Saccharomyces cerevisiae S288C: one gene and its partners. The gene in region 2 interacts genetically with the main gene of each other region. Each region holds a gene or a part of one and is shown on either strand. Other genes may lie near its edges.

Region 1 (9,668 bases), on a different chromosome or scaffold from region 2:
GCCGAATATTGAGCGTCTCAGCCGACCCGCATTAAATGACATTGGGATTATTGCAAATGTTCGCCCTTCAACTCTTCCTTGCTTAACTGATAATTGAATCAAACCATTTCCACTCCACCCCTGAGAAAATTGCAACAAATAACACCGCCTTATCCTACAAATCTTTAGTTATTACCTCCTTAACACTATCCTTACTTTAACACTTACTCCATTTTCTGACTAATAAAAACATATACACACATAAGTAGGCACAGAAATGCAAATATTCGTATAACAGGAGACGAAAATTCAATATGGTTACTCTGACTTGTCGCTCGCATAGTCCCTGATCTACAGCATTAATCCAAAAAGAGACATGTGTGTAAACAACTCCGGGCCAACACACTGAAAAATAAAGAAATCAATTTATTTTCGTGGGAGAAATAAAAGCAACAGAGCCAAACGTATCAAACTTCAGCACTACTCATTAAGAATATATGCAATAATACTGGATAGCACTTTCAACTGCTTCCCCAGAAGGATAGCCTAGAAGAAAGTTTCTTTTCCGTTGTTGATGCACCTAAATAATGTCGTCTTGATCAAATATAGGCTTATAGTATTGATATATGTTTATATAGTCAACTGTATTTATATCAAAAAAAAAAAAAGATTTTTTTTTTATTCTTTCGTTATTTTTCAATGTCTATGGAAGTTCATTAGTAAAGGCATGTCTCTATTTTGGAATAGCAGTGTAGATACCGTCCTTAGATAGAGCACTGGAGATGGCTGGTCTCAATCTAGTGGAGTACCATGGGACACCAGTGATGACTCTGGTGACTTGTTCAGCTGGAATACCAGTCAACATAGTGGTGAAGTCACCATAGTTGAAAACAGCTTCAGCAATCTCAACTGGGTAGGTCTCAGTTGGATGAGCTGCTTGAAACAAGTAGTATTGAGCCAAATGAGCTCTGATATCGGAGACGTAAACACCCAATTCGACCAAGTTGACCCTTTCGTCAGATGGAGATAGAGTGGTAGTGGCTGGGGCAGCGGCAATACCGGCAGCGATGGCGGCAACACCAGCAGCGATTGAAGTTAATTTGACCATTGTATTTGTTTTGTTTGTTAGTGCTGATGTAATCTTAACAAGAAATAGTGAAATGAAAGCGCATACCTCAAAGGCATATAGTTGAAGCAGCTCTATTTATACCCGTTCCTCCATCTGTCATCACTACTTAAACGATTCGTTAACAGACGCTCATTTAGCACCTCACATATCCTCCATATCTCATCTTTCACACAATCTCATTATCTCTATGGAGATGCTCTTGTTTCTGAACGAATCATACATCTTTCATAGGTTTCGTATGTGGAGTATTGTTTTATGGCACTCATGTGTATTCGTATGCGCAGAATGTGGGAATGCCAATTATAGGGGTGCCGGGGTGCCTTGAAAAACCCTTTTACGCGCGCCTGTGAAGTTTCCGCTTTCGGTCAAAAAGAATATCCGAATTTTAGATTTGGACCCTCGTTCAGAAGCTTATTGTCTAAGCCTAAATTCAGTCTGCTTTAAACGGCTTCCGCGGAAGAAATATTTCCATCTCTTGAATTCGTACAACATTAAACGTGTGTTGGGAGTCGTATACTGTTAGGGTCTGCAAATATGTAAACTCTCGGCGAATGCCTTGGTGCAATTACGTAATTGTAGCCGCTGAAGGCGGATGGTATTGAGAGAAGTTGATGTTCAAAGTATCGTGTATGATAAAAATAGAATTGTAACCAGTTCGTAGTAGCAGTATTAAAACTTTGATTCCGAGATGTAATCCCTCTTTTCTAGCCAGATATGAAGGAAAAAAGTGTAAGGGTAGTTGAGAGCGCTACTTTATTTTATTCTATTTTAAAAATGTTCTCTAGGAGAGGTGTATTAATAGTTGGTACTCCATGTAGCTTCTAAGTCAAAAGAAATGTCTCTATCTTTATGGTAACGGTTCATCGTTAGAGCTCAATTGTGCTTCTTGGATGTATTTCCAAAGTCCCACGTTTAATAACCCACACAACATAAATGTCCTTGAATATAAAAAATTTCGAAAGCTCCCCGTAAAGAATGCTTGATAATCAGCTCCATCAAAGAAATACTTTTTGTTCTTCCAAACTTTTCCTCTCAGCAAATACATATTTATTTCCTTTGCAACCACTTTCTAGAGAATTCATAATAGTTGATAAAAAAGGCATTTTGTCTTCTATGTTCATAATTTCAATTCTTGAATTTTGGAAATCGTGAAATGTTTCGAGAAACCGCCTTCAATAATTAGAAAACAAAATAAAAGATTACAGTTAGGCCACTCAAAAATACAATTCAGATAAGAAAGGTGCGATAGTGGGGAATAAGAATTGGAAATCCGCTTGATAATCAGGGAAAACTTAAAGAACGGGGTGTTAAAAGTCTGTGAAGTATAGATCAAACTCGCACTAGCTAGCAATACTCATGAGAACCTAGGTGAGTGTAAAGCAGTGAACCTTCTTTAGAAAGCAGAGAAAAATCCTCCAAGTTAACAGTCTTCCATACTTACTCAGTATGGATCAAGTTCCACAGTTTGTCCACTTCTGTAGAATAAACTTGTAGTGCTTTTCCGATGAAAAGGGATAGAGTCTTTAAAAGACTTGATCTTGGCATTTTTATCCTCCTTCAAGCAGAATGGCTCCAGTAGAGTTGTTCTGAACGCTTCTGGGCAGTGAGCAGCATTGAAGAAAAAGTACTCAGCATTCCAAGCTTTGTCTTCATATAATTATAAATTAAAACTCATAGCCACCAATTTCCAGGTTTTGGTCGCAATATGCTGCAGAATCAATGGCTTGTTTCGTTACTATACTGGTCCGACGGAGTTTACTTTACTCTAAATTTGCTGAAATAGCAAGGCCACACGCCATACAATTAACAATAGTTCATTCAGTTGAAAGGTTTCCGAGATAGAAAGTGCGGTAGTAGAGAAGAACAATAAACGTATCAAACTTTGCGCAGTCATGGAATTTCCAGGAAACATTTTTAGGTTTTCATATGACAGCAGTTCCTGTCCGAGAGCTGTGCCTTTCTTGTCTCAGCTGACTAAGATGTCTCGGATCCGCCCGGCTGGCGCGCGGCTCCGTCTAGTGGGATAGGCTTTCAACACATAGGAAACCCTTCAGATGATGAGAACACATCGAATCCCAGAGAGTAATATCACCAAGAATAAAGCAACCATGATAGACAATATTACTAAGTGTTCCTCAACAGATATTGAGAAAAGTTCTTATAAAGCGGGCAGGCTTTTTTCTATTTTTTTCTTTTTCTTTATCTAGCTTAAGATCCTTCTAACCATATTCTATAAAATGGCAAGCTGAATACAGATTATCAACGACAATTACATATAACCTACAAACAGGCAAGTTGCAATTCCAGAAACCATGAAGGCTGTCGTCATTGAAGACGGTAAAGCGGTTGTCAAAGAGGGCGTTCCCATTCCTGAATTGGAAGAAGGATTCGTATTGATTAAGACACTCGCTGTTGCTGGTAACCCGACTGATTGGGCACACATTGACTACAAGGTCGGGCCTCAAGGATCTATTCTGGGATGTGACGCTGCCGGCCAAATTGTCAAATTGGGCCCAGCCGTCGATCCTAAAGACTTTTCTATTGGTGATTATATTTATGGGTTCATTCACGGATCTTCCGTAAGGTTTCCTTCCAATGGTGCTTTTGCTGAATATTCTGCTATTTCAACTGTGGTTGCCTACAAATCACCCAATGAACTCAAATTTTTGGGTGAAGATGTTCTACCTGCCGGCCCTGTCAGGTCTTTGGAAGGGGCAGCCACTATCCCAGTGTCACTGACCACAGCTGGCTTGGTGTTGACCTATAACTTGGGCTTGAACCTGAAGTGGGAGCCATCAACCCCACAAAGAAACGGCCCCATCTTATTATGGGGCGGTGCAACTGCAGTAGGTCAGTCGCTCATCCAATTAGCCAATAAATTGAATGGCTTCACCAAGATCATTGTTGTGGCTTCTCGGAAACACGAAAAACTGTTGAAAGAATATGGTGCTGATCAACTATTTGATTACCATGATATTGACGTGGTAGAACAAATTAAACACAAGTACAACAATATCTCGTATTTAGTCGACTGTGTCGCGAATCAAAATACGCTTCAACAAGTGTACAAATGTGCGGCCGATAAACAGGATGCTACCGTTGTCGAATTAACTAATTTGACAGAAGAAAACGTCAAAAAGGAGAATAGGAGGCAAAATGTCACTATTGACAGAACAAGACTGTATTCAATAGGCGGCCATGAAGTACCATTTGGTGGCATTACTTTCCCTGCTGACCCAGAAGCCAGGAGAGCTGCCACCGAATTCGTCAAGTTCATCAATCCAAAGATTAGTGATGGGCAAATTCACCATATTCCAGCAAGGGTCTATAAGAACGGGCTTTACGATGTTCCTCGTATCCTGGAAGACATTAAAATCGGTAAGAACTCTGGTGAAAAACTAGTTGCCGTATTAAACTAGATGACGAACAGATATTATTTTTCTTTTGTATACACAGTTATTACGTATGTTAGAGTGACTTGGTTTTTTTTTTTTTAATGAAATTGTTTGTTATTGATCACGCCTTGTAGGGGAAACAGATGAGAACAGTGAAAATCATAACTCATTATGTGATTTGTTGTGCGTCACCCTTCCATGATTATATATCCTTACTATCTACTATCCAACTACTACATATCTATTGAACTCATATGTACCAAGCACATAAAATTATGCACCTATTTCCATTGGCAAAGACTTGGCGAAATTTAATACACTGTAATAATATCCGGCGAAGCTCTTTAAGAATTCTTACCTATAATAGCGGCTCGCTGTCCGAACGATTGCGCCGCACTTTTCTGCCTCTTACATTCCCTTTTCCTAAGGCGATAAGCAGGCTGAATGGAAACTACGATATAACGCAGTAGAGGTCCCCCAAGAGCTGGAAAGAAAATATTGGTTTGATAGCCAGCACTATTCTATCCAGTGGGCTCTTGTACCATTTTCTGTGGTATGGCTTTGATTCAACTGCATACGTAGTTAACGCGATCAGCCGCACATGGGCATTATCATTTTCAGGGGTACTGGTAAACCCTATTGTTTAGAAAGAATACCTGGTAAGCGGGTCTGTCGAGTCTTTCCCACTAATTTTGAAGAAAAAATCTTTACCTAGTTTGAGAATAATCGTGGCGTTCGTAACATCACGAGGTGAGAGAGACCAGTTAGGTAAGGGTATGCCAATAAAAGGTTATTGATACTTCAACGAATCTTCATATTAAAAGTGCCTTCACCAGAATAAAATTCTAACGTCATCCTAAAAAGCATCAATTGGACATAGTGAGGGAAAGTTTTCACCATTTAAAATCTATTCTGCAGAATACCATTCTAGACTATGATCCCTTAAAGATTCCCATTCTTTAAATATACAAATCAGGTTCAACAGCGTATCTTTATGGTATTATCGTACTACTGGCGACATTAGCAAATCCAAGTATCCTAACTAGGTTTCTAGTCTTATCTCTTGGTTTTCTCCATTAGATGGTAAACACGTTACCTTGATGGCTGTACAGGAAGTGAACATGGTCAACTCAAAGTCACCGGACTCAAAATAATTGCAATTACCTAGACTGGATATTTTTAGAATATTATGAGAATATTTTTAGAATACTTGCAACCCAAAATATATTTAAATGCCGCCAATTTGCAACCAAAAGATTATCCGCTACCTTTTTTTTAGTCATTGAATTGTAGCATAAAGTTCCGAGCTTTGAAAAAAAACTTTGAACTAAGAAAAGGTAAGAGATCCTCAATTATGATATTACTTCATGCCATATATACTCTTTGGGTAATTATACTACTTCCGCTACTCAATGCAGAGAAATTTGTCCCAAAAGTAACGGAGGCTCCTATAGAAACATCATTTAATCTAGTGAGTTTTGATGATTCCAACACTTCTATCAGATTAGATGGTTGGGGGGTTGTATGGATAAGTTTCGACGCTGGAGAAAATTGGGAAACGGTCAAAGAAATTGAAGAGCGCATTTTCAGATTTACTGTTGATCCTTTCCATGGACAGGAAAGAGGTTTCGCTTTTATATGTGAATCACCCAAATTCTACATTACCGACGACCGTGGGGAGTCATGGAGGGCTTTAACTATACCCTCATCAGAAGAATATTTAGATGGCGACTGTTTTATAACTACTCATCCTAGAAACAAAGAACTTCTTATTGCGAATTGCTATAGCTATATGATAGACGCAGACGTTTTATATGACCCAAGTGAAATTTACTTGAGCAATGATGGGAATCCTTTTTTAAAATTAAACCTTCCTTGGAAAAGAAAAAAGACGACGATATAACAACTTAAAGCTGTCATTTCATTAAGTCTAGCAAGGATTCTGACTTTACTGGTAATGATACTTCGATACTCTGTTTGTTCTCTAACCGTGAATACGATGAAGAATATCGCTTAACTGCTACCTACACACAGTTGGCTTTCAGTAGTGATGGAGGCAAAACGTTTAAAGATTTTGATGAATTTAAAGATAAGATTGTTACTCAATACAAGATATTGAAGTCATATGTGGTCGTTTTAACGCAAGATGACGGGCATAACGAGATGTCATCTACGGACATCTGGATATCCAATGATGCATCTACTTTTCAAAAGGCACAGCTGCCTACTCAATTACGGCACGTCAAAGTGATTAAAATTCGTGAAGATTCTATCGGAAGGATCATCCTTCTTATATCGACAGAAATCACAAATGAGGAAAATGCTGATCCAGATCTCTCAGAGATTTTCATATCAGATTCGCAAGGGTTGAAATTCTCACCTGTTGAATGGACACCAAACCATCAGTTTGGAAATTTTAGGCTCACTTTTCCTGATTTCTTGAAAGGGACAATATTTGGATCGTTTCATCCTTCCATTGACTATTCTAATCACCAAGTAAACTATACTGAAAATATAGCCGGAGGAGAAACCAAAATATCCGTTGATAACGGCCTCACATGGTCAAATTTGAAAGTTGTTGATGAAGAAAATGCCGATTCGTTCGGCTGTGATATCACTAGGCCTGAGAGATGTTCACTTCAGGGTTATTTTTACAATCTAAAACTTTCAAATCCTTCTGCTGGGATCATATTAATGACAGGTTCTGTTGGCGATGACAATGAATTCGATCGGAAGGACCGAAAAACTTTCATTTCTAGAGACGGTGGTCTAACATGGAGGGTGGCCCATAATTCTTCTGGATTATATGCTACTGGTGATCTGGGAAATATTATTGTATATATCCCGTCTCCTTCATATAAAGATGGTGATGTACAATCCAAACTTTATTTTTCCTTGGACCAAGGTAGAACATGGAATCAATATGAGCTTGTTGACGCTTTATTTTATATCCATCCATTAGAGTTGATTAATACAACGCCAGATGGATCAGGCTCAAAATTTATTTTAAGCGGACATCTCATTACTACGGCTAGTCAAGAAGGAAACAACACCAACATCTCATATATTGCAAGAAGTGTCCTGTATGCGATCGATTTTTCTGCTGCATTTTGACTATAAAACGTGTGAAGAGGAAGATTTCGAAGACTGGAATTTGGCAGATGGGAAATGCCTTAATGGCGCCAAATACATGTATAAAAGGAGGAAACAGGACGCCCGTTGTTTGGTAAAAAGGACATTCAAAGATATGATTTTGCATGAAATACCTTGTGACAGTTGTACTGAATCCGACTACGAATGCTCTTCTGAATTTGTTAGAGATGCAAAGGGTGACTGTATACCAGATTATGATCAGATTGCCCTTTCCGATATATGTGACAAAGCTAATGGCGAAACTGTATCATTAGAGCCATTACAATTAATTAAAGGAGATAAATGCAAAAAGCCCATGGAAATTGAGGCCATGAACATTCCATGTGAAAAAATCCTGAGGGAGAGCTCGAATGGTAAGAAAATAGCAACCATTGAAAACAAGTTTGACTTTGAAATTTAATTTTATCAATATTTCGATACAGTTTTGGGTGAATCTTTTATCATGCTTAAGTCAATAGAAGATGCCTACATACCTCACGATATGATGAATAAACAGTAAAAATGTTCGACACTGACGACAAAAAATTGACACTATTCGGGACTGATGTCATATAGAAACATAAGGTCTTACTATTTCGTTAATTTATTATTGTGATATGTATTTACAGTGTAATATGAAGTTGTGTTTAAACTATATTTTAATTCCAGGGTTTATTTGTTTGGCTCTATGAGTAACATTTTCTCAACTCAAGACAGAGGATGCTTTTCTATGATGGCTAAATTGCCTGAAACCAGACAACTAGGCATGCCACCAGATTTTGGTGATGAAAAATTGTGAATCAACCTTAAATCCAGAACATAATAGTATACCTTACCAAAGATGGTGGCGGAACGTTTACATAAATGCTTGGTAATGCAGTTCATTCTGGGTTAGCGGGCTCATTTTTCAAAAATCCGTCAAATGGGGATATTTGCTGTATGCTAAGTAAAGGAAAAGTTTTCGCCATCAGACGACTTATATGAAAACGCCAACGAATTATCCAGTTTCACGAGTCAAGGCGGTAATTTTGAAATCGAACAAGAAGATGCTCACACGCCTGAACGAAACACATGTCACAGATAACCAAGACTGTCTCTAGCAACATTCCAGACGCATTGCGAGCTCGAAGTTCCGCTCAAAAGGTTGATTGGCAGCAGCACGCATCGAAGACAAGTGGGTAATCTTTTTTACGCATAATAAATGGCTGTGTCTATTTTTTATTAAGAGAAGTAAGCATAAGGATTTTCTCAATATTGTCCATTATCCGAGGCCTCCATTACCTTTGTATGAATATAATCGCCATGAATATAATCGCCATTGTAGTTCGCCAAGTGCCGCCTTTCTTTTCTTCTATCCTCTTATCTTCCGCTTATTGGCACAGGAAACGTAAAAATTAATAATCACCAGTTCCAGTCATTTTGAGTTATAATCGTTTACCCTCCCGACAAAGATAGTAGCTCGATTCAAGAACATGAATTTTACTAATATTCGTACTTTTTTAGTTTCTGCTACTATTAATCGGTTTTGAATCCTGTCTTCATTTTGTGAGGACAAAATTTAGTAGGTGTGTAAAGTGGTATTTAAGATTCGAGTCTGGGTGCACTAAACAATGATAGACTGATCAGTACATCTTCAATTTACTATATATAGATTTTTATTAGTATTTGTTTGCAACAATTCAACGGTTAGTGTATGTAGACTATTGAATATAACGAAGATAAACAAAAAGAAGGGGAGCGAAAAAGAATTGTCAACAAATGTTTATCGATATCTGCGATAAGGTTCTGCAAACAAATGCCGCTTACGAAAAGAATACAAAAATAAGAGAATACAAGGTTATCAGCCGTCGAAAAGCACATGCTATCGTGTCATCATTTCGTGAACTATACTTCTAATGGTGTCTGCACCACAAATACCATATACACATTAGAGCATGACGATGAGTACTTACTTTTCTTGACTGTACAGCCACAGATGTTGCAGTGCGTTTCAAAAGTTCCAGCCCCACGTTTTGCCAAGATAAATTAAAAAA
Region 2 (11,505 bases):
TTGAAAGCGATCCACGAATGGGAAAGTATCCCCTTCCGAAGTCACATCTGAGGGAACAAATTTTAAAACATATGAGATGTTGTTTTCATCCACGGCATCATAAAATTTACAGCAATTATTCTCATACATCAAGTTTTTGAGAGTGTAGTCATGCAATCCTAAATCTTTGAAATGCATCTGATCTATTTGTTTCTGTATTTCTCTTTTCTTGAGTTATATAAACGGAATGATTAGTAGTTTGGCAGAATTTATAGCAAGTATTAAATAGTTGAATACCTCAATATTCTCCATAATAAACGCCATATCGTACATAAAGGCTAAAACAAGAATGCCTGATACCGTTCTGCTTTTTGTTTTATCTTTCCCTATATTTTCTTTCCCTTTTGATGCTTTACGTAATTTTTCCCGGCATATGTGAGCTTCCTAATAGACTCTATTTTTATTTTTCCCTTTCAAAGTGCGAGAGAAATACACACAACCAGCCTACGCTTATTTTCACCCATACCGTCATACGCCATATGATATATAATGTGAAACAAACGCGGGGAAGAGCGCGACACGACAGCTTAGCAGGGGCATTCCACGCAACACCTGAAACTTTAAGTAAAACTGTTTCTGCGAGGATATCTTGGCAAAACAAACACTAACTTTCGAACTAAATATAGTGATCGTGGTCATAAATTAATAAAAAGAGGATAAATAGAGATAAAAGAGATATGTGACTAAGTTGCTGGCAATATGTATTATTTATACTTTTATCTTCTTGAAGCGTATTCAAAATTGCGTTTCGGTAAAGCTCTCACCAGATGTACTTAAAGTTTGGGATGAAGCACCGTTTTGGACAACTTTCATTAAGGAATCAACATATTCTGCACCAGACCATAGCTGGTGTGTCATGATATCACAATTAGTCTCCTTTTCCCGTTTTTGCACTTTTTCGACGTATGCTTTCATTCCGTCACTTTGGAAGCTATTGGCTAATTCCCAGAATGATACTCCATCTGAATGCAGACCGGCAAGGGAAACCAGTTGCAACGTGAAGCCTTCTTTTGCCAAGTCCCATACGAAGGATTTTAATGCCTTATCATCAAAGCCGTGAGCGCTCCAATTGAAACTAGGAGATAAGTTATATACTAGCTTGGTAGCTGGAAGTTGTTTATGAATTTTTCTTGAAAATGAGCGTGCCTGCTCCAGGTCAGGAGTTTTCGTTTCCAGCCAAATCATATCAGAATATGGGGCAAACACCAAAGATCTTCTAATAGCTGCTTCAATACAACCGTTAAACATGTAATATCCCTCTTTGGTCCTCGGAGCATCCCAGTCAAATATAATTTTCTTTAGTGGTGTCACTTCTTGAGCTAAAAGTTTCATTTCTCTTAAGCTTAGGTATGCTCTACCCAGCTTGTTTACCATAAGGTCTTCCTTCTTTTCTTTATAGCTTTCAAACTCGCTTGCCGTAAACTGCTTTTCTAAGGCCTCTTCAAATGTAAACAGCTCATTTTCATGGTACCATTCTTTTTCCATGTCAGCAATGGCGGAGTTGGGAATTTTTTTGTCCTCCATCTCAATCAATTTTTCGCTCCAAGGCACCACGTTATCTCTTATTATACCCCTAATGAATTCGTGGTCTCTCGGATCACTGCTTGAACTCAACAGCTTACCATTACAGGAATCTGTTCTTGCAATAACCAAATTTTCTGTCCCCATGATATCCCATTGAAACCTGGTGGAAATCAATCTCATAAGATGTGTTGCTGTGGGCACCAAAACAGCCCCACTTAGATGGCCACACCTTTTGCCTCCCACCATCTGATCTTCAAGATGAATACCAGCAGCCCCTTTCTCCGCAAACAACTTAGCAACTTTCATTACAGTCGTTGGGCCACCGTGACCCATGTCTGCGTCCGCGATAATTGGTTTTAAATAATCAACAGGAGTAGAACCTTTGATGGAGGCCTCCAAGAAAGCCTTTCGATCGTGCAATTGCTGCGCCTTGAATATTCTCTCCACTTGATTCGGCACAGTATCGTATGGATAATCGCCAAAATCCGGCGATACTTCATTTGTAGATCCAACTAATGTGGAAGAACAAGCCCAACCAGATATGTAAGCAACTTTGATATTTCTGCAACGGGCCAACTGACTCATTTGTACAGGATCGATAACTCCCAACGTGTGAAGTGGAGTACCATTCTTGAAATTCTCTTCTAGTAAGTTGAACAGCTTTCGAGCTTGATAAGATGAAGGATAAATTGAAGTATTAGCAGGAAGGCTGCCCCGATGCTTTACAACATCCGTAGCTGAGTATGGACGACTGATATTCTTAAATCTGGCTGATTCCCACCATTCTTCTACTTTACTTGATTCCGAGAACACGAAGTCTTTAGTACTGCTTGCCCCGTTGAAAGATCTTCGCAGTGACTTGTCTGATGACAAAACCAGCTTCTTCAGTGTTCCCGTAGTTTTTCTATTGAAAGTTTTGTTGTTAATCATTGTAATCATCGGCGAAATACTAGAAAAGTCGAAATCGATATTATTATCGGCGCTGTAGCTTCTTTAGGCCACTAGTACTTTTATAAGCTCTTCAACCGCAACAAAAGTTAAGAAATAAGAGAGTTATTCTTAAGCCCATTTTTTACATTATATAGTGTACGTATGATATCGCTAGCATGATGTTAGTGTTTCGGCGCTTCTAATTGAAGAGCATATCCTTTTCTTCTCCAATGCACTTTTATTTCTTTCCCCGCAAGCATATTCGGCCCGGATCTCGGACTTGGATCATTAACCTGAGGACAGCGGCTAGTAACCGCTGTCGCTCATATGGAAGGAGAAAATAAAAATTCAGGCATATACAATTATTTCGTCCTCTCTTCTCAGTTTAAGATCTTTAGTTACCGCATCTGCAACAGGATATTCGTTCAACTTGACCATCCCTTTCGTAGCCAAATTCAGTAAGGATAGGAAGGCACTGGCGGCTATCTGTCTGCTGACACCTCTTTCTACATCATCAAAGTTAGCTCCCGTTTGAGCTTCGCCCATGCGGCTTGGGATGATGTCAACCAACAGCATCTTTCTCTTGAAAGGCGGATTGGAGCGCGTTGTTCTTCCGACAACAATTGATCTTTCTTTGATGTAATCGTAGAATTTTTTAGTTTGATAATCCAGAATGACGTCTTGAAAATTTGTTTTGTCCTGCTGCAAATTTTGCTGAGAGCCATCAGAAAAACAACTGTTGCTGGAATCGTCTTCCTCGGCAAAATTCTGTTCAGATGGCCCGACTCTCCTTCTGAGAGCACCAACTATATCTTCATTGAAACCACTAGACCTGGTTGAGTTTCTGGTATGACTTCTTCCAAAACTTGAAGGAGGTAGATTCAAATTAAAATCTAGGATGTTACCTTGAGAGTTTTCTTCAATATAGTGCCCATCTTCCAAATCCTCATTAATTTGTTCAAGGTTTAAAAGTAAATTATCATTTTCCATATCGGAAGAATAATTATCGTTCTTATTATTGCGAAAACTTTTCCTACCATATTCGTGACTTCTGGTACTACTTGAGCTTTGGGTTGATACTAAAGAATGTGCTCTTTTTCTCCCTCTTTCAACTGAACTAAAACCTTGGGGATATAAGTCCCATTCGCTAGTCTTTATATTGGAAAAGTCGTTAAATATACTTAACCAATTTGTTGAAAAAAATTCTTCCTCACCACATGACCTTACCAAACTACTTATGTTAGAGGTGAGAAAATTTTGGCCGGTTAGTTTTCTAATCCTGTTTTTTTCCATTAAGTGACTGTAATTTCCATGGTTGAATTTGAGAACTTCATTTGGATAACTCGTTTTGGCATCAAATTGTACCTTAGAAAATTGCCCACCTACATCGGCGCGATGTCCTCTTTGCATTCTGGTGTTAAGTTTCTGTTGAAGATCGTTTTCTTCTTCAGAAGCCTGCGCTTCTAACCCCAATTCGTAGTCTTTGAGATTGGCTACCGGCCCTTCATTTTCAACTGATGTATCTTCTCCTCCATTACTGTTATTTTCATTATCGTTCTCAAAATTCAACACCAATTCATCTCCTTGATAATTAAACTTGAAATCGTTTCCATCCTTCTGTGAACTTGAGTGAGAGCCTAAAGGTGTCCCCTGATGGCTCACTATATCATCTAAGTCCAGGTTAAAGTCCACATCAACGGGAATTTCATCCAGCGGAAAAGAATTTCTAACGTTAGATCCTAGATTACTTTGCGCGTCTGAGTTAGTCATGTCCCCATGAAGCTCGAACCTGTTAGAATTACTTAACTCATTGATGTAGTCTTGTCTCCTTATTGATTTAGCTTCCTCAATAAAAGATACATTATCTTGGAGAGTAGTGTTAAGAAACTCCAGTGCGGGAACTTTAGTAATATCATATAAGGGATCGTCATCGAAAAAAACGCATTCTTCCCAGGTGTAATTATTGTTTTTGTTTCCTATAATACTGTTATTACTATTCAATCCATTAATCCTCGTAGACTTATTTTTGGCCTTAAAAGCGTATACATCATTTTTTTGTAACTGCACAAGCAGGTGATTTAGGTCATTCAACACATACTCGGTTTTTTTATTATAGCAAATTGTCACTCCATATAAAAGATTAGAAATGTATCTAAGAGAAAAATCATTTTCGAAATTTTGAATTTCATCACATGTTTTTGGTATGGAAATATTTACGATGTCTTTTTTCTTAACGGTGGATGAAGATATGTTTCCAGTGGAGTTGCTTTTGTTTGAATAATAATTGTTACTTTCCTTTACAATGGAATTTCCCAACGCAGAAAGCAACCACACTGTTGTGAGGCCCTTATATTTCTTGTCATCTTTAAAGTTCAACGAAAGAGGTGCCATTGCAGAATATTTGTAATATTAATCTATATATAGCAAATGCTTTAGAGTTGCTGAGGCTAAAAAGAAATTATAGAACAACTATAAAATATTAAGTCCGGATACACTGCTTCCTTTATACCATGCCCTTCCCTTTATAGTGTAAAAACGCGTAATCTTAATCAATCTGATATATTGGTTTGCCGCCGAAGTCAAGTTCTCCTGCTAAAACGAGACAAAAAGAACACGTGAAAGAAGAAAGAAAAACGTTACGATAAAATAAGTTTTATACCTACTTTCATATCTACCAAAGGAACACAATGAATTGCCGTATGTTATTCTTGAAGTAAGAGTCAAGTATTATTTATGGACTAGTATTCACGTTACTAGTACATTATCACATGCGGTGTAAGAAGATGATATAAAAATTGAGGGACAGTAATCAAATTCAACGGAAGTCAAAAAGGAAGGATTGGTAATGTATAATATCGAAAAATGTGCGAAATAGTTGATAATTGTTGGAGTTTTATAGTTGTTAAAGGCTATAATATTACGTATTTAGAATATACTAGAATTTCTCTATGAGAAGAACCCACGAAGAGATCGATATTCTCGATATAATGGCATTATTGTTATCCTTTTCATCTTATGTGACTGTCATTCATCATCCTACTAAATTATCAATCCTTGCAATTAGCTTCTATTACACCTGATGACTGTTTTTCAATCTTTATGTGATCTTTTTACACCCAATGTGATAAAGTACTAGTAACATGAATACTACTAAACAGATGATACTTTAGAGTTTTCATTCCAACACTCAATTGTAAAAATAAGACAATATTATGATTTTTTGGCTGTATAACCACATCTATTTAGTAGCAGGGTGACATGTTACTCCCACACAATACTTCGCGCAAGTGGTTTAGTGGTAAAATCCAACGTTGCCATCGTTGGGCCCCCGGTTCGATTCCGGGCTTGCGCAATTTTTCCCCCTCGCCCTGAAGGGCGTAACGTTAACGCTTCCGGTAATTTGCGAATAATTTTTCTTCCCATTTCCCCTTTCTTTTCCCTTTAACATGTGGAGCATAGCAGGCTCTTTACTTTTTTACGCATTCAGACAGTCGGGAGGTCAATTGGTGGTGCCGGTTGTGGGAAAGAGGTAATTTTATTTCCTTTATTGGACATGATTTCAATAGTCACATTGGGGCAGGAAAAAGAAAAGGGAGAAAAAAATTCAGTAAAGAAAAAAAATAAGAAAAAGAGAAAAGAAACAAGAGAGGGCTACAGATTTCTAAATATCCTTTTGCTGCACATTTTTTATTTACCTGCTAATTGGTCTTAGTAATACAGAGTCGTGCATTTCCACTTTATAAGAAAAAAAAAAGGGATAACAGCACCAGCACTTGATTGAAAACTAGAAAGTTCACGTTTTATAAGTCCTTTCCGTTCTCTTTATCAGTTATAATAAAAGAGCCAAGACAAAACGTGGCAGGGAAGCTTTTCCAAGGAAAAGAGGGTTGTAATATTAAACAAAAACCGTAATCAAGCAAAATAAGACCCCGTGGTTTTTTATCATAGGAAAAGAGTTCTCTGTTGTCACTCTACCATATTTGACAAGAAAAAGGAAACAAAAGTATAGAAAAAAAAAACCTAAAAAATAATGGTCTTGATAAATGGCATAAAGTATGCCTGTGAGAGGTGCATAAGAGGCCATAGAGTAACAACATGCAATCATACAGATCAACCGCTTATGATGATCAAACCCAAAGGTAGACCTTCCACTACATGCGACTATTGTAAACAACTTCGAAAAAACAAGAATGCAAATCCTGAAGGTGTTTGCACGTGTGGCCGGCTAGAGAAGAAAAAACTGGCACAGAAAGCCAAAGAAGAAGCAAGAGCTAAAGCCAAAGAAAAACAAAGAAAACAGTGTACCTGCGGGACTGATGAGGTTTGCAAATATCATGCTCAAAAGAGACATCTAAGAAAGTCCCCTTCAAGTTCTCAAAAGAAAGGAAGATCCATTTCTCGTTCTCAACCAATGTTTGAAAGGGTATTGTCTTCTACTTCACTTGACAGCAATATGTTATCCGGCCACGGAGCACTATCAGATACCTCTAGCATACTGACGAGCACATTTTTAGACAGTGAGCCGGGTGTTGGTAAAATTTCAAAAGATTACCATCATGTCCCTTCATTGGCCTCCATTTCATCCTTACAATCCTCGCAATCGTTAGATCAAAATTTCAGTATACCACAAAGCCCGCCGTTATCTTCAATGTCATTTAATTTTCTCACGGGAAATATCAATGAAACCAACCAAAATCACAGTAATCATCAGCATTCAAAATCAGGCAATAACTGGCAAGATAGTTCGGTAAGCTTGCCAGCGAAAGCTGATTCACGTCTTAACATGATGGATAAAAACAACTCTGTGGGTCTTGACCTATTAGGCCATTCAAAACGAATATCGCCGATATCAAACTCTCGTGTGGGCGAAGTTAGCGTTCCGCTAGAAGAATATATTCCTTCTGACATTGATGGGGTTGGAAGAGTTACTGATAAAAGCTCTTTGGTCTACGATTGGCCATTTGATGAAAGTATTGAGAGAAATTTCAGTACAACCGCAACCGCTGCAACTGGTGAAAGTAAGTTCGACATTAACGACAACTGTAATAGAATTAATAGCAAAAGTTATAGTAAGACTAATAGTATGAATGGAAACGGTATGAACAATAGCAATAATAATAATATCAACAGTAATGGCAACGACAAGAACAATAACAACTCTTCTAGACAAGAACATCAAGGAAATGGACTATTTGACATGTTTACAGATTCATCGTCGATTTCAACGCTTTCCCGTGCAAACTTATTATTGCAAGAAAAAATTGGTTCGCAAGAAAACTCTGTCAAACAAGAAAACTATTCGAAAAATCCTCAACTTCGTCATCAATTAACTTCCAGAAGTAGATCATTTATTCATCATCCGGCAAACGAGTATTTGAAGAATACTTTTGGAAATTCACATAGTAATGACATCGGAAAGGGAGTTGAAGTGCTATCTTTGACACCGAGTTTTATGGATATTCCCGAAAAAGAAAGAGAAACGGAAAGATCGCCATCATCCAATTACATTACTGACAGACCTTTCACTCGAAAACCTAGATCTTCTAGCATTGACGTAAACCATAGGTATCCACCTATGGCACCAACAACCGTAGCGACATCTCCCGGTGCATTGAACAATGCCGTAGCAAGCAATCTCGACGATCAACTGAGTTTAACATCACTAAACTCTCAGCCATCATCGATAGCAAATATGATGATGGACCCTTCAAACCTAGCTGAGCAAAGTTCTATTCATTCAGTTCCTCAGTCAATAAACTCTCCGAGAATGCCTAAAACTGGAAGTCGCCAAGACAAGAACATTCACACTAAGAAGGAAGAAAGAAATCCGCTAAATAACATACACGATCTGTCACAATTGGAAAATGTACCAGACGAGATGAACCAAATGTTCTCCCCACCATTAAAAAGTATGAATAGACCGGATGCCATAAGGGAAAATTCATCTAGTAGTAATTTCATAATCCAAGGAAATAGCATGATCTCTACGCCTTCCGGAAGGAATGACCTTCCAGATACCTCTCCAATGAGTAGTATTCAAACAGCGTCACCACCAAGTCAATTACTGACCGATCAAGGATTTGCGGATTTGGATAATTTCATGTCTTCGTTATGATAAATTTGCTTTTCGTCTCTTGCTTCTCTGTAACTGTAGTTTTCCTCCTCCCACATATATATATATATATACACTTTTATACACCTAATAATATCATCGGCATTATGATTGCTTATACATTTTCATAATCAATATTACTGTTCACCATTTGAATCACTGCAGAAATATGCACTGCGCCTTCTTTTTCTTTGCCTGAAGCACCCACACACAAGAACAGGAATGTGAATGGCCTCCCCATCTCACTTTTACTTAATAGTATTCTGACAATATAAGGTATCAGAGAGTAAGACCATTATTAGGCAAACAATAATCTTCAGAATTTTTAGTAGCGCATTCTCAACCTTTCTAGGTGCGTTTTTCTAATGAAATAGTATCGTTTTCCTTCCGCATTCCTTGCGTAGTTTGTTGTGTAAATATAGCAATAAGAAACCCTATAAATCATTATGATGTAACTCCCGATTCTTTTAAATAATTACATAAACTAGGAAGGCAAGTCCGAACACGCAGAGATGAGGTATTTGCACTCAATGACAAATCTAGGTTTAAACTACGGGGCTCCATACCTTATCTCTTCACTTATCAAAAGTAGGCAAAAGAAAAGAAAATAAATATAATTTCTTTTTCTGCAGGCAAGATTTTAAAAGAACTTGCGCGTCCTCTGTGCAATCTACCTGGGGAGTCTCGGGCTTTAACCGCTCCCCATTCTAAACTGCTTCCATTGACGTGTACTATACTGCTCACTTCTTGCTCTTCGAGCAACAAAATCTGTATTACGTTTCTTACACTAGTCGAGTGAAAGAGATAAGATACCCACTTTTACTTGCCGGGAGAATGGAAAAGAGAAAACGGAAGAAAGGGCTTAAATACATTTTCCTTTAATATGAACATCCTACTGTAAGATAAAAATTGGATGCTGATAATGGAAAGGAGACATGTACGGTATGTACGGCAAAACCTCGGCGGGTTTTCGCCGCTAGCTCATATATTCTTTCGTTAAATTTTAAAATTTCTTATTCTAAATCTTCTTTACATGTTTGGAAAGAATTTATTGGAGAGAAAAATCTAGACCTGCCAAGCCGATAAACGAATGCCTGCGAAGAAATAGTGTAAATATTACTCCTGAAGGTAGAGTCATCTAGGCGGAGACGAAAACAAAGTTTAGCTTTTCGTGAAATTGCCCATTTCATGTTTATCAACCACCAAAGGTTAAATGGAGGTTTGACAAAAGAAATTTTCTTGCTAAAGGTTAGCATTTTTTTTGGAATTTTTTTTCCTTCGACTGGCTGTAGTTGTCCTTCTATATTACGTACAACAAAAACTTTCTTGAATGAAGAATTAGTTCTATCATATAGACCATAAGAAAGAAAACGCACTTGGATAATTTTTAACAAAGAAGAGGGCAAACTGACGCTCACCAAGCTATTGGTTTGTTTGGATCAATCGTCAGATATGAAGCCGAACAATCGAACTTGTGATGTAATTACCAACAAAGATGAATCTCTTCCTGCACTTTTGCTGCCTGCACTGAACAGTTACACCTGTGACGATTCATTGCTAAAAGGACAAATTTCAAGCAATGGCAGATATCAACCATTCGGGTTTTCTGATTGCTCTTTACTGCCAAAGCGTTTAAACATTCAGGCAGGGCAAGGATCTATGCCAGTTTCTTCGATTCAATGTGCAGACCACAGTTATAGTAATTGGCAAAAAGAATCCGAAAAGACTAAGCTTCCCAAGCTTGGTTGCCCAACAGAGTACACTGAATACTATAAAACTGTTTCTTCCGGCGAAACAACCGATTCAGCGGTTGTTTCATCTATAGCAACGAACAGACTCAAAAGAAAACGTCAGAGGGACGGCCCAAGTTGTGACTCTTGTAGGATAAAGAAAATAAAATGCAATGCAACAATCATTATCTTTTTACAGGATAGGAACCTAATTTCATCAATTTCTTCAAATTTGCATTATACACTTTCCCAAGACGACATAAACCAGTTTCGAATGAAGTTTTTCAGGAAACTGCCTGACGTGATGGGCACATATGAAGTCATAAAACACCTTGATAAAATAGTCCTTTTCAAAGCCTGCACCTCTTGCAGTAGAAGAAACCAAAAAAATGGAAAGTGTCTTTTTTCGAGAGGATTTACAAAATCTGATATGAACGTATTTCCCAAGATAAATAGTAAACTTAAAGACAAAAGTATCTTCGAGATGACTGTCGATGATTATGTTGCCGCTGGCTTCCAAACCCTTTAGGTTTCATGCATGTAATTTCCTCCTATGTAAAATATAGGAATATTAATAAAACGCACCAATAATAAGTTAGATATTTTTCTGCAAGATATAAATTTGTTTACTCATACATATATATTCTATTGCGGGGCGCTCTTGTATAAGTAATTCAATAAAAAACCTCTATATGATACAATTGACCAAGCCTTCATTTACCATTCTATATCAATTTGGAAAGAAGGGTATTTCTCTATTTGGGCTCTACATTATAACGCAATCTTATACCCATTGCGGATAGCTCAGAGTCCAAGTACTTCAACACAAATGGTATGGCCACCGTAGTTGTTTCATTACCACCAACAAATTTGTTACCTTGTCCATCTTCCCAAATTTGAGAGTCGTCAATAAAAATTTTCTCTCCATCTTCTGATTTAGTCAATAGCTTCTTTGCATCTTCGAATCTCATGGAACAACGACGGCAACAAACGGTGGAAATCGAACCAATTCTTGGCACACTCTGTTGCGTGGTCAAAATAGAACCACACTCGCGACATACGGATGCCTGTGTGTAGTCTGATGAATTTAGCAGACGATCTTGTAATAGAAAAGATGTACCATGCCCAATCAAAGCATCTCTTTCCATTTCACCGACACGAATACCACCA
Region 3 (11,145 bases), on a different chromosome or scaffold from region 2:
ACTGTCGAATACGAAGACGACAATGGTAGATGGGTTCCAAAGAGGATAGATACCGTTGTTATTTCTGCTCAACATGCTGATGAAATTTCCACCGCTGACTTGAGAACTCAACTTCAAAAAGATATTGTTGAAAAGGTCATACCAAAGGATATGTTAGACGAAAATACCAAATATTTCATCCAACCATCCGGTAGATTCGTCATCGGTGGTCCTCAAGGTGACGCTGGTTTGACCGGTAGAAAGATTATTGTCGACGCTTACGGTGGTGCCTCATCCGTCGGTGGTGGTGCCTTCTCCGGTAAGGACTATTCCAAGGTCGATCGTTCCGCTGCTTACGCTGCTAGATGGGTTGCCAAGTCTCTAGTTGCCGCTGGTTTGTGTAAGAGAGTCCAAGTCCAATTTTCATATGCTATTGGTATTGCTGAACCATTGTCTTTACATGTGGACACCTATGGTACAGCTACAAAATCAGATGACGAAATCATTGAAATTATTAAGAAGAACTTCGACTTGAGACCAGGTGTGTTAGTAAAGGAATTAGATTTGGCTAGACCAATTTACTTACCAACCGCTTCTTATGGTCACTTCACTAATCAAGAGTACTCATGGGAAAAACCAAAGAAATTGGAATTTTAAACATTTAGACAATAAATGTTTTATTTTGATTTTTATAATTATTTCAATCCCTTTCTTTATGCTAGGCTGGTCCCGATCACCTCCCTATATTGAGAAGACGATGCCTTATCGTTTGATTCGCTCAACTCGAGTCATGTAATTACTAGAAAATGATACAATAGAAAAGTTTTAAACATTCTTAAACTTGACAAACACCAATAGAATAACATCTAGGCATAATGATCTATTTTGTATGGATTATGTATTAGCTCCTTCAACGGAAATATATAGAAAATATTACTTTATGTTTTTAGAACTTTTTGACGAGTTTTACCAGTTTTTTTCATGATGCTCCACGTGGTAATATGACTATGCTATGGAAATAAGGTTGAAATATAGAATGTCTTTGAGGTTATTTGGTCGGCCTCTTCCAGAAATACTGTTTATGTTTCTTCCTGCACGACCTTAATCGGCTCCTGCCTTTTAACGAATTATACAAAATCTTTCTCTCGTCGCTATCATCGTTTTCAACATCATAGTAATACTCGTCTTCTAATGGCTTGCCAGACGCATCTTTTCCTTCACGCACAATAATACCAATGCAAGAAATAGTCTCCAAGACCTTTTTTAGTTCATCTTTGCTTAATTGTGAAGTGTTGGAATTGATGTTTTGCAATTGGGATAAAGGCGTTTGTTGAAGGTTAGAAAATGCAAGATGATTACATAGCACATGAACTAGGTCATCAAACCGAATTCCTCTTTCTGAGAGCGACCGAGAAATTTCGGGAATAATATTCAATGAAGTCTTAAGACGTTTTTGTGCAGGAGATACAATCGCGGTTGTAGAAGACAGCTCTTTAGTTTTTTTTGCAACTGCTGCGAAAGATTCTTCTTCATTAATGCCACCACTCCTAGTACTGGCACTTAATGTCCCAATTATTTTATCTTTAGGAAGTGGTGTCTCTTGTATAGTGTTATTTTTCAATGAAATTGATTTACGCTTCAGTTTCTTTGGAGTTGATGGCTGATTAATAACGAAAGATGTTTGGGGTGTTGTTCTATAACTAATGGGGGAGTTTTTCACAAGAGCAGGAGATGCAATAAGTAATGGTTTTGAGATCTGTTCTGTACGAGGTGAATGCTCAACTGGGACAAATTTCATCGAAGGTGTTTCTTTTTGCCAAGAAAAATCATCGCTCGTTGTTGTTAATAAACACAACTCATCCTCCGTTTCTGTCGAGTTCTCTTCGTCAAAGTTATTGTTGCCATCGCCAGGATAAGGTGCTACTTTTTTCAATGAAAGACAGACTGTGACGCCTGTAAAATTTATGAAACTTCCTTGGATATAGGGGAAAGTAACAGTTTCACCTTTAGCCAAAACAAAGCTGATGAAGTTTTGGTTCTTTTGAAGAGTTTTTCCATGCGATTGTTTAGTATTTTGCGAGGTCAAAGGCTCTTCTGCCACTAGTTTATAAAAGTTCCTTGTTGGGAAGGGTTTTACCAAATGCAACTGCATGGAGTAAGGCAAGTGAACGGACAACCCATTAGTTCCATTACATTCCAATTTTATTTCATTTCTGTCGGCGGCGTATGAAATAAAAGCGTGCTGCCTAGAGATATTCTTTCTGCATGGCAAAATAATGTTGCAGACTGATTTTTTCCTACCGATGGCTAAACGTGAGGGATCCGATGCATCTAATTCAATCTCGATAGGGCCTGCAAGCACCTTTTCTTGCTTTGAAGGAGATGACAAGGCAGATTTGGTCTCATTTAAACGTGAAGTGATATCTTTCACTGGTGAAGATTGTCTTCCGATGCTAGACGACGGGTCTGGAGTAGGATACTCTTCCAATTCGTAATTATACCGTTTTCTTCCTAAGGTCAATACAGAAGTATTAGCAAGCTTACCAGGTTCTTTTTGTGGGCTTTCCAAAGGTTTACCAGCAACTGGTGATGATGGTGGGAAGAGATGGGACATAACCAAAATTGTGACGATTTTGTCGTGAAACTTCTAGCGAAAAGACTAATGAAATCGGCAAATATTGTGTAAATAGTATACCAAAAAAAAAAACGCTTCTATATATTGTTCCCCGTTGCTAGTAACGATAGAAACGGCAAATAAGGAGAGAAATTAAACTTTCTTGGGAGAGGCAGAAGTGTTTACTTATTCTTCTGAAACAAAAACAAACGCGAAAAAAAAATTATCGCGTTTGGATTATCATTATTTAGACATTAACACCTGTACATATTTGTATTTTAAAAGCCGAACATTTTTGGGTTCTATATCAGTTTTTTTTTTCTTCAAGCACTCCGTACACCACTAATATTATCACTGAGAATCTTCCTGCCACTTGCGGGAAGGATGAGATTGGAAACATGGCTGGAATAGTAAGCATAGGTTACTATAGAAAGCGGTAACAAAAAGCACTACTATGTGTAGATAAAGAACAAAGAGGTAAACGAATATATAAGTAAAGATGGGTAGTATGTACAGGAATTATTAATTGATGAGTCAACGTTCAATCACATCCGGTCTGATTTAGAGGATTACATGAGAAAGAAGCACTGAAAAAATTTTCCACCAGGAGAGGCCAGGTAAACTAAGACCTACGTTATTCACTATGCCAAAAGATTTAAAAATATAGAATGATGAATGTTGCCAGAGCCATTGATGATAAGAAATTGCACATAACGGATGCATAAAGAGCGAATAAAAAGATTTGAGTGTCAATACAAAAAGGTGAGAAGAAATAGTGTAAGACAGCAACACACATCTAGACCGCCAATGAAGTTGTTCTGAATCCAGCAGTAGAGTTTATTTAGTTCAAAGTTTTACTAACGATAATTAACTTTTATGTTTTCATTTTAAACAGAGGGTACTCCTTCATTCGGTAAGCGTCACAACAAATCTCACACCTTGTGTAACAGATGTGGTCGTCGTTCTTTCCATGTTCAAAAGAAGACCTGTTCCTCTTGTGGTTACCCATCCGCTAAGACTAGATCTCACAACTGGGCTGCCAAGGCAAAGAGAAGACACACTACTGGTACCGGTAGAATGAGATATTTGAAGCATGTCTCCAGAAGATTTAAGAACGGTTTCCAAACCGGTTCTGCTAAGGCTACTTCTGCTTAAATTTGATATTATCTATAAGTTTTGTTCTTTCCTAAAACGAAAATAATATAAATTATATATAGTTAATATTAAGCATTACAAGGTTTCTATAAAGCGTTGACATTTTCCCCTTTTGATTGTTGCCTTACAGTCCCATTGAGATATATAATGAATCGGCCTCCTCTAGTGTGGTTAGATCGAATGATTTTGACTCAAGAATAGTTCTTGCCATTTCTTGAAATTTCTCATCGTACTTTACTTGCATTATTCTCCCCGTTCTTTTATTCAATTGCATCTTCAATTCTTCTTCGATATATTCTGGTAAATCCTCAAAGGCATCTTCGTAATAAGAGGCTTGATCCTTTATCGTCAGATCATGCAAACTATCTACAAGGTGTCGATGATCTCTCATTTCTCTTTCGTTTGCTGTCACAGTTTCGGTTTGGCATACGAGAAACCTCCATAGTGACATAATCAATTGGCTTTCTACCTGCTTGATTTGTTCTTCACGCAATTGTTTGAAATGGTCTTTCCATAGCCTATATATTATGGTTAAAGTATGTTCAATAAGATGGCATCTGAGGTCCAAGTTCGGGGAGTCTTGTCCCACGTACCTTTCTATCATTAACGCTTGCTCCCTGGATAAGAATTTAGAGGAGTGGATGAGCATTTCTCCATTTACTATGGTCGCATCGTCTCCATAGATCATTAATAAATTTTCAAAAATATTTAAAACTTCATCTTTTAACTTCAAAAGCCATTTTTCCATCTTGTAACCTATTATAGGGGCAGTGAATTTGTCGCTATCCATCCCAATATCCTCTTTAGAAATTACCCTTGGGACACTTTGCAATCGGTCAGTATAAATCAGCTTTGATATCAATCCTCCCAATTCATTATCACCTATATTTCGGATTAACCCAAAAAAGTCATGGTACTTCGACATATGAAGAGTTGTAGTATCCACATTTTCATTATATACGTCGCCACTCTTAATTTCCTTTTCCAAAAGAGCGTATAATCTTGTAATACAATCTCTCCACCAACTACCGCTTATCAAGGATTTCAGATCTGAGGAATTGTCCATATTTAATATTATACTAGTGATAATATTAACGACCTCGACTGCACTAAATATTACATTTACCATTGGCTTGTATGAAATGGTTAGTGCTAGTTTGTAGACAAATTCAAATGATTTTAGAATATTTTCATCAAAAAATTCCATATAAGTTTGCTTAGGATGCGACTGCAGTACCCTTAATATACCTTCTAGGAGATCAAAGGAATACGAAATTATCAAATAGTCTATCAGTTCATATTGGAAAATCTGAGGTTCTACATGCAAATTCATATTTGATTCATGTATCGGTACTTTCAATACATGATGATAGATTCTTATTAAATCGCAAATAAAAAGAAAACAATCCTTCAGTGCTAAATTATGAGTGGCACTAGGACGAAATTGTACAATCTGATACATCAATGCAACGAGAAATGGGACAGCTAATTTCGATTCATTTGGATGAACTGATATTTCCTTGATCAAAACAGCTATATCCTCTAGCAAAGTATCTATGAACCTGTCGAGGGTCAACGTCTTTTTACATCGCAAAAGTAGAGAAACTATGGACTTCCCTATGGGGGCTCCTTTAGCAATGACGAAATTCTTAAATTTAAACTCTGTGATGTAGTCAAGCTTCAATCTATTTAATATTTCTATTGTGCTCAGGTCAGCGCCTATTATTTGATGAAGTAATATTGACTCTAGAAATAAACTCGTTTCATCGGGAATAATCCTATTTGGGTTTAGGGGAACCATATTTTTTTTCAGTAAATTATCACTTATCTTACGTTTTTTTGATTGTGGTGATTGAGGTTTTGCTTCGATTGCAACTGAGGACGAATCTGGCGTTATAGTGTTTGTGTTTGTTGATAATGTTGTTGACGGTGGTTTTACATTCGTAATAACTTCCCTTTTCGATTTTCCTCTCGCTTCCATCTGTAAGAACTTCTTCTCATCTTCCAGTTTCTGTAATTCTTGTTTTAATTTAGCCAACTCTTGAAGATGCTTGACTTGCAATTCATTAACTTTGACGGCTTGAATATTCTTTTCCTTTTCCCTTTCAATGTTCAAAAAGTTTATTTTATCACGAAGCATGCTTGCTTCACCTTGAGCTTTATTCAGTTGGTTAACCAGTTGGTTATCATTTTTACTCTGTTTATTGTTTAATGTGGTCGTTGTAACCTCCAAAGTAGTGGGAATTTGTGTTTGTAATGCTGCTGATGATGGCGGTATTTGAGTAAACCTTGGAGGCCTGGTGCCTAATTCCAAAAGAATATCATCATCGTCATCTGAAGAAAATTCACCCACCGTTTCTCGTCTCATCTATAATAGAAATATGCAAAAGAGTTTGATGATTGTGTTGACGTTTCGTGCACTATCGCGTATTTGTTTGCTTTTTATTTTATTGCATGTGCTGTTTTCCCCAAAAAATCGATGGAACGCTCGGATTTGGCTAGAGGCGGGAAAAATCACCAATAATCGAAGAAAATAGAAGAACCAAGATACTAATAGCTCTTTGTAAGATAAATTTTGGAGTTACTACAGGTTACTATCCTTATTCAGAGACTTTTTACTGCTTTGCTCCTAATATTTAGTAGGAAAGAGCGAGCCTGTCTGACTCTTTTTTTTTTAAAAAAATTCAAGGTAAAACCTAACTAAACATAAAATTTCCACTCGAGTTATTCCGCTTAAAAGTGCTTAACATCGGTGCCACACAATACGAACCTTAGTAGAGAACCGACCGTTACCTCTTTATTAGCCCTAGTTTGTACCACTTAAGCTCTAATTCCAATCTAATGTGTGTGTATTTTTTTCTATTGTTAGCGCCGCACCAAAGAGGATCATGGTAAATACAATTACATAAAGAAAAGAAAAGCAACAAAACAGCTTCGTTTGCACCTTTAGCAAACGTTGGAATTTTCCTAATCTCAAAACAAGTGGTAAATCTAATCCCACACTAAAGAAAGCACGTCTTTACCAGTGACTTTATCAATAAATCACCTGCACACGCTGTCCGGGTAAATAGAATTGTTACTAAATAATGAAAAATACATTCGCAGTTGTAAAAATGCCAACAGAAATACCTGATATACAGTTAACAAGTAAGATCGGATCACGCTGCCAAGGCGCATAACAAACTATAAAGCCATTAAAGATTATGGTCGTGACATTTTTGCAGGACCTGGAAGTTTTGCAAGATGCATTATTAAATAATTTGCAAAAATTAAGTGCAATCTCCCGCAGAAAAGAAAGCGGAGAAAGCAAGCATGATAATAAGGACAGTTTTGCAGCCATTGCCAACGAACACAATGATGAAGAAGAAGAGATTGAATTTGAGGATTTGGTGAATATTATAGAGAGCAAAGTTTCAGATTTCGAATCGGTACTGAAATGTAGTATTGTGGAAATGACCTACAAATACCCCGAATTAAAATTACAGTGGGAAAAAAGCCCTAGATACGATCAATGCGATAAGTTGCATATTGTGAAGCTTGATAAACAAATGAACGAGGACATATATGCTCAGTTGGTCGAAGAACTGGATTTCGTGTTGCAATTCGTCGATTGGTTCTATTGCTACCGCCTGAAAGTCAAAGAGATTCTACGACAACACCACAAACGTGACTTAGCTTGGAACGACGAGAAAAGAGACCGCGCTATAAAATTTCACGCTGTGGATTACGACAAGCTTCACCAAGGAACGTCGTCATCGTCAAGCTTAACGTCCACATCGATGGAAAAAGCCAGCACTAGAGAGAAGCTTTTGAGCAAAACAAAACAACTGACGAATAACTTGGTGAGAGGAAATCAAATTTTGCAGTCCGGAATTTTACAAAGTGACCTGAATTTGGATGAATTGAGAGCCCAAACCAATTCCTTAACACAAATCGATGACAAGTACACTCAATTCGAAACCGTCTTCAAGAAAACTGCCGATTTGGTCAAAGTACTGGAAAATGCCTCCCATCAAGAGAAACGAGATGTCTATTTATCACTTGGGTTCCTCCTATGCTGCGTCTCGTGGGTTCTATGGCGTCGTATTTTCAAGTTACCTGTTAAACTCGGCCTCTGGCTGCTATTCAAGTTTTTCAAGGGTATACTCGTCACCCTAGGTCTAGTTAAAAGCTATGCAGGCTCCTCGTCCTCTCTTCAAGCACCCAGTCTTGTGCTAAATGCACCCATTCTAGCCACTACAACTACATCCTCAGCAACCTCTGTGGAACCATTCGCATCTGTATCAGCCGTCAGTAGTATCCAGCGGGCTGTCGATGAGGCCGTGGACAGGATCGTCTCACATGATGAGCTATGATAATTTTAACATCTATATAACATAATAAGCGCATATACTTAGTTCTCTCCATCCTCTCCATTTATTTTCTCTCACCATTGTTTCTGTTCTCTTCACATGCGTTAGGTATAGCTTATACCCCCCACTGGTTGCGCTAAATACGCCTTCCCCACCGCATGTGAAAAAAGCTCGACCAAGCTCAACGCGCTGTTGCAAAATGGAAAAAATATAAAAGGAATCAAGCCATAGTTGAGAAAAGACCTTTCACACTTGGGCTTTTCTTTGGCAGGTGTTTGCTCTATTCTTCTCTTTCAGTTTGGTGCGCTATTCAGATTTATTGGTCGTCCTACTGTATACATCTCTTTCATTTTCTTTGTTTCTGCAGTGGGTGTTAAAATGGGAATACACATACCATATCTCACGTCAAAGACATCGCAATCAAATGTTGGTGATGCCGTTGGCAACGCTGATAGTGTAGAGTTCAACAGTGAGCATGACTCACCTTCAAAGAGAGGTAAAATTACACTTGAGTCACATGAAATACAGAGGGCTCCCGCTAGCGATGATGAAGATAGGATTCAAATTAAACCCGTGAACGACGAGGATGACACGTCGGTCATGATCACTTTTAACCAATCTCTTTCGCCCTTCATCATCACTCTGACTTTTGTCGCATCCATATCCGGTTTCATGTTTGGTTACGACACTGGTTATATATCCAGTGCGCTGATCTCGATCGGCACAGATCTGGACCACAAGGTACTTACTTATGGGGAGAAGGAAATTGTCACTGCGGCTACCTCTCTGGGAGCTTTGATTACCAGTATTTTCGCCGGTACTGCAGCTGACATATTTGGTAGGAAACGTTGTTTAATGGGTTCGAATCTGATGTTTGTCATTGGCGCAATCTTACAGGTCTCCGCACACACATTCTGGCAAATGGCTGTTGGTAGACTGATCATGGGTTTCGGTGTCGGTATCGGCTCCTTGATCGCGCCACTTTTCATCAGTGAAATTGCTCCCAAAATGATCAGAGGGAGACTAACTGTCATCAATTCCTTATGGTTGACTGGTGGTCAATTAGTCGCTTACGGTTGCGGTGCTGGGTTAAACTACGTCAACAATGGTTGGAGAATTCTTGTTGGATTGTCACTAATTCCCACTGCTGTGCAATTCACATGCCTGTGCTTTTTACCTGACACTCCAAGATACTACGTTATGAAGGGCGACTTGGCAAGGGCTACTGAGGTGTTGAAGAGAAGTTACACTGACACTTCGGAGGAAATCATTGAACGTAAGGTGGAAGAACTTGTTACTTTGAATCAATCTATTCCTGGTAAGAATGTCCCTGAAAAAGTCTGGAATACCATCAAAGAATTGCACACAGTACCATCTAATCTAAGGGCTTTGATCATTGGTTGTGGTTTACAAGCAATTCAACAGTTTACCGGTTGGAATTCGTTGATGTATTTCTCTGGTACCATCTTCGAAACTGTCGGTTTCAAAAATTCTTCCGCTGTTTCAATCATCGTGTCCGGTACCAATTTTATTTTCACTTTAGTTGCCTTTTTTTCCATTGACAAAATAGGCCGTAGAACCATATTATTGATTGGATTACCAGGCATGACCATGGCTTTAGTCGTGTGCTCTATTGCTTTCCATTTTCTAGGTATTAAGTTTGATGGCGCTGTCGCTGTGGTGGTTTCCTCCGGTTTCTCCTCTTGGGGTATTGTGATCATCGTATTTATTATCGTATTTGCTGCGTTCTACGCTCTTGGTATCGGTACTGTTCCATGGCAACAATCGGAACTATTCCCCCAAAACGTGAGAGGTATTGGGACTTCATATGCAACTGCTACAAACTGGGCTGGTTCACTGGTTATTGCATCCACATTTTTGACCATGTTACAGAATATCACTCCTGCAGGTACATTTGCCTTTTTCGCGGGATTGTCGTGCTTATCAACCATTTTCTGCTACTTCTGTTATCCAGAATTATCGGGATTGGAGTTAGAAGAGGTACAAACTATTTTGAAGGACGGGTTCAACATCAAAGCCTCGAAAGCTTTGGCCAAGAAGAGAAAACAGCAAGTTGCCAGAGTTCATGAATTGAAATATGAACCAACTCAAGAGATTATAGAGGATATATAGTCCTTTCACGAGGTAAAAGGAAGGAGACGCAATTGAATATTCAAATACATAGTAGAAAATAAATAAAAATAAATTACAAGATAGAAAAAAGTTCATTGTATTTAAGTCGAACTAATTGTTGTATGCATATATAGAAGATTAACTAACCCGGCATTGAAGACCTTTTTTTTTTTTCACCTTGAGAGAAATACTGAAAATTTTTTTTGCTGGGATGAGATGAGATGCCTACCTAAAGTATTTCGAAGGTGAAAGCGTTTTATTATAGAGTACTGAAATAAAGCACAATCAGGAATAACAAATTAACTGACAATGGCACCTTTAACCAAGAAGACAAACGGAAAACGTTCTGCTAAAGAAGTTAGTCATTCAGAAAAGAAATTAGCCAAAAAACCTAGAATTTCTATTGATTCGTCTGATGAAGAATCAGAACTATCCAAAAAGGAAGATGCTGTATCCTCTTCATCAGATGATGATGATTTGGATGATTTAAGTACCAGTGACTCTGAAGCAGAAGAAGAAGCTGACGAATTAGATATTTCCGATGACAGTGAGGAACATGAAAATGAGAATGAAGAGAAAGAAGGAAAGGACAAATCTGAAGGAGGTGAAAATGGAAATCACACTGAACAAAGAAAACTGCTAAAAGAAAGGAAAATGCAAAGAAAATCTGGTACCCAAGTGCAACAAATTAAATCCGTCTGGGAAAGATTGCGTGTGAAGACCCCACCTTTACCAAAACAGATTCGTGAAAAACTTTCCAACGAAATCTGGGAGCTATCTAAGGACTGTATCAGTGATCTTGTCTTAAAGCATGATGCTTCCCGTATTGTTCAAACTTTAGTCAAGTATTCGTCCAAAGATCGTCGTGAACAAATTGTCGATGCTTTAAAGGGAAAATTTTATGTTCTAGCC

Evidence for each region.
Region 1: mutations in HAA1 (region 2) and PAU3 together harm fitness more than expected from each alone (negative genetic interaction), as found in Saccharomyces cerevisiae (one large-scale study listed by BioGRID).
Region 3: mutations in HAA1 (region 2) and PLM2 together harm fitness more than expected from each alone (negative genetic interaction), as found in Saccharomyces cerevisiae (one large-scale study listed by BioGRID).

Annotation. Positions count from the first base shown.
Region 1 is NC_001135.5:299,220-308,887, reverse strand, and holds PAU3 (seripauperin PAU3), read right to left. Parts: upstream 1,088-9,668; coding exon 713-1,087; downstream 1-712. Other genes in the region: YCR102C (uncharacterized protein), read left to right, coding at 3,421-4,527; YCR101C (uncharacterized protein), read left to right, coding at 5,858-6,406; EMA35 (Ema35p), read left to right, coding at 6,667-7,617; YCR099C (uncharacterized protein), read left to right, coding at 7,589-8,056.
Region 2 is NC_001148.4:566,495-577,999, forward strand, and holds HAA1 (Haa1p), read left to right. Parts: upstream 1-6,523; coding exon 6,524-8,608; downstream 8,609-11,505. Other genes in the region: HAL1 (Hal1p), read right to left, coding at 1-177; methylisocitrate lyase ICL2, read right to left, coding at 775-2,502; REC8 (Rec8p), read right to left, coding at 2,842-4,884; SUT2 (Sut2p), read left to right, coding at 10,058-10,864; DNA-directed RNA polymerase I core subunit RPA135, read right to left, coding at 11,091-11,505. UniProt on the Saccharomyces cerevisiae protein: Regulates the transcription of a set of genes, many of which encode membrane proteins. Among the genes regulated are YGR138C and YRO2. Does not seem to be dependent on copper.
Region 3 is NC_001136.10:1,442,801-1,453,945, reverse strand, and holds PLM2 (Plm2p), read right to left. Parts: upstream 2,594-11,145; coding exon 1,028-2,593; downstream 1-1,027. Other genes in the region: methionine adenosyltransferase SAM2, read left to right, coding at 1-636; 60S ribosomal protein eL37 RPL37B, read left to right, coding at 3,093-3,099, 3,489-3,748; LCD1 (Lcd1p), read right to left, coding at 3,873-6,116; SEC20 (Sec20p), read left to right, coding at 6,952-8,103; myo-inositol transporter ITR1, read left to right, coding at 8,479-10,233; PUF6 (Puf6p), read left to right, coding at 10,543-11,145. UniProt on the Saccharomyces cerevisiae protein: Binds to the promoters of genes with functions important for the G1/S (start) transition; primarily genes involved in DNA synthesis and repair, chromosome segregation, nuclear division and transcription.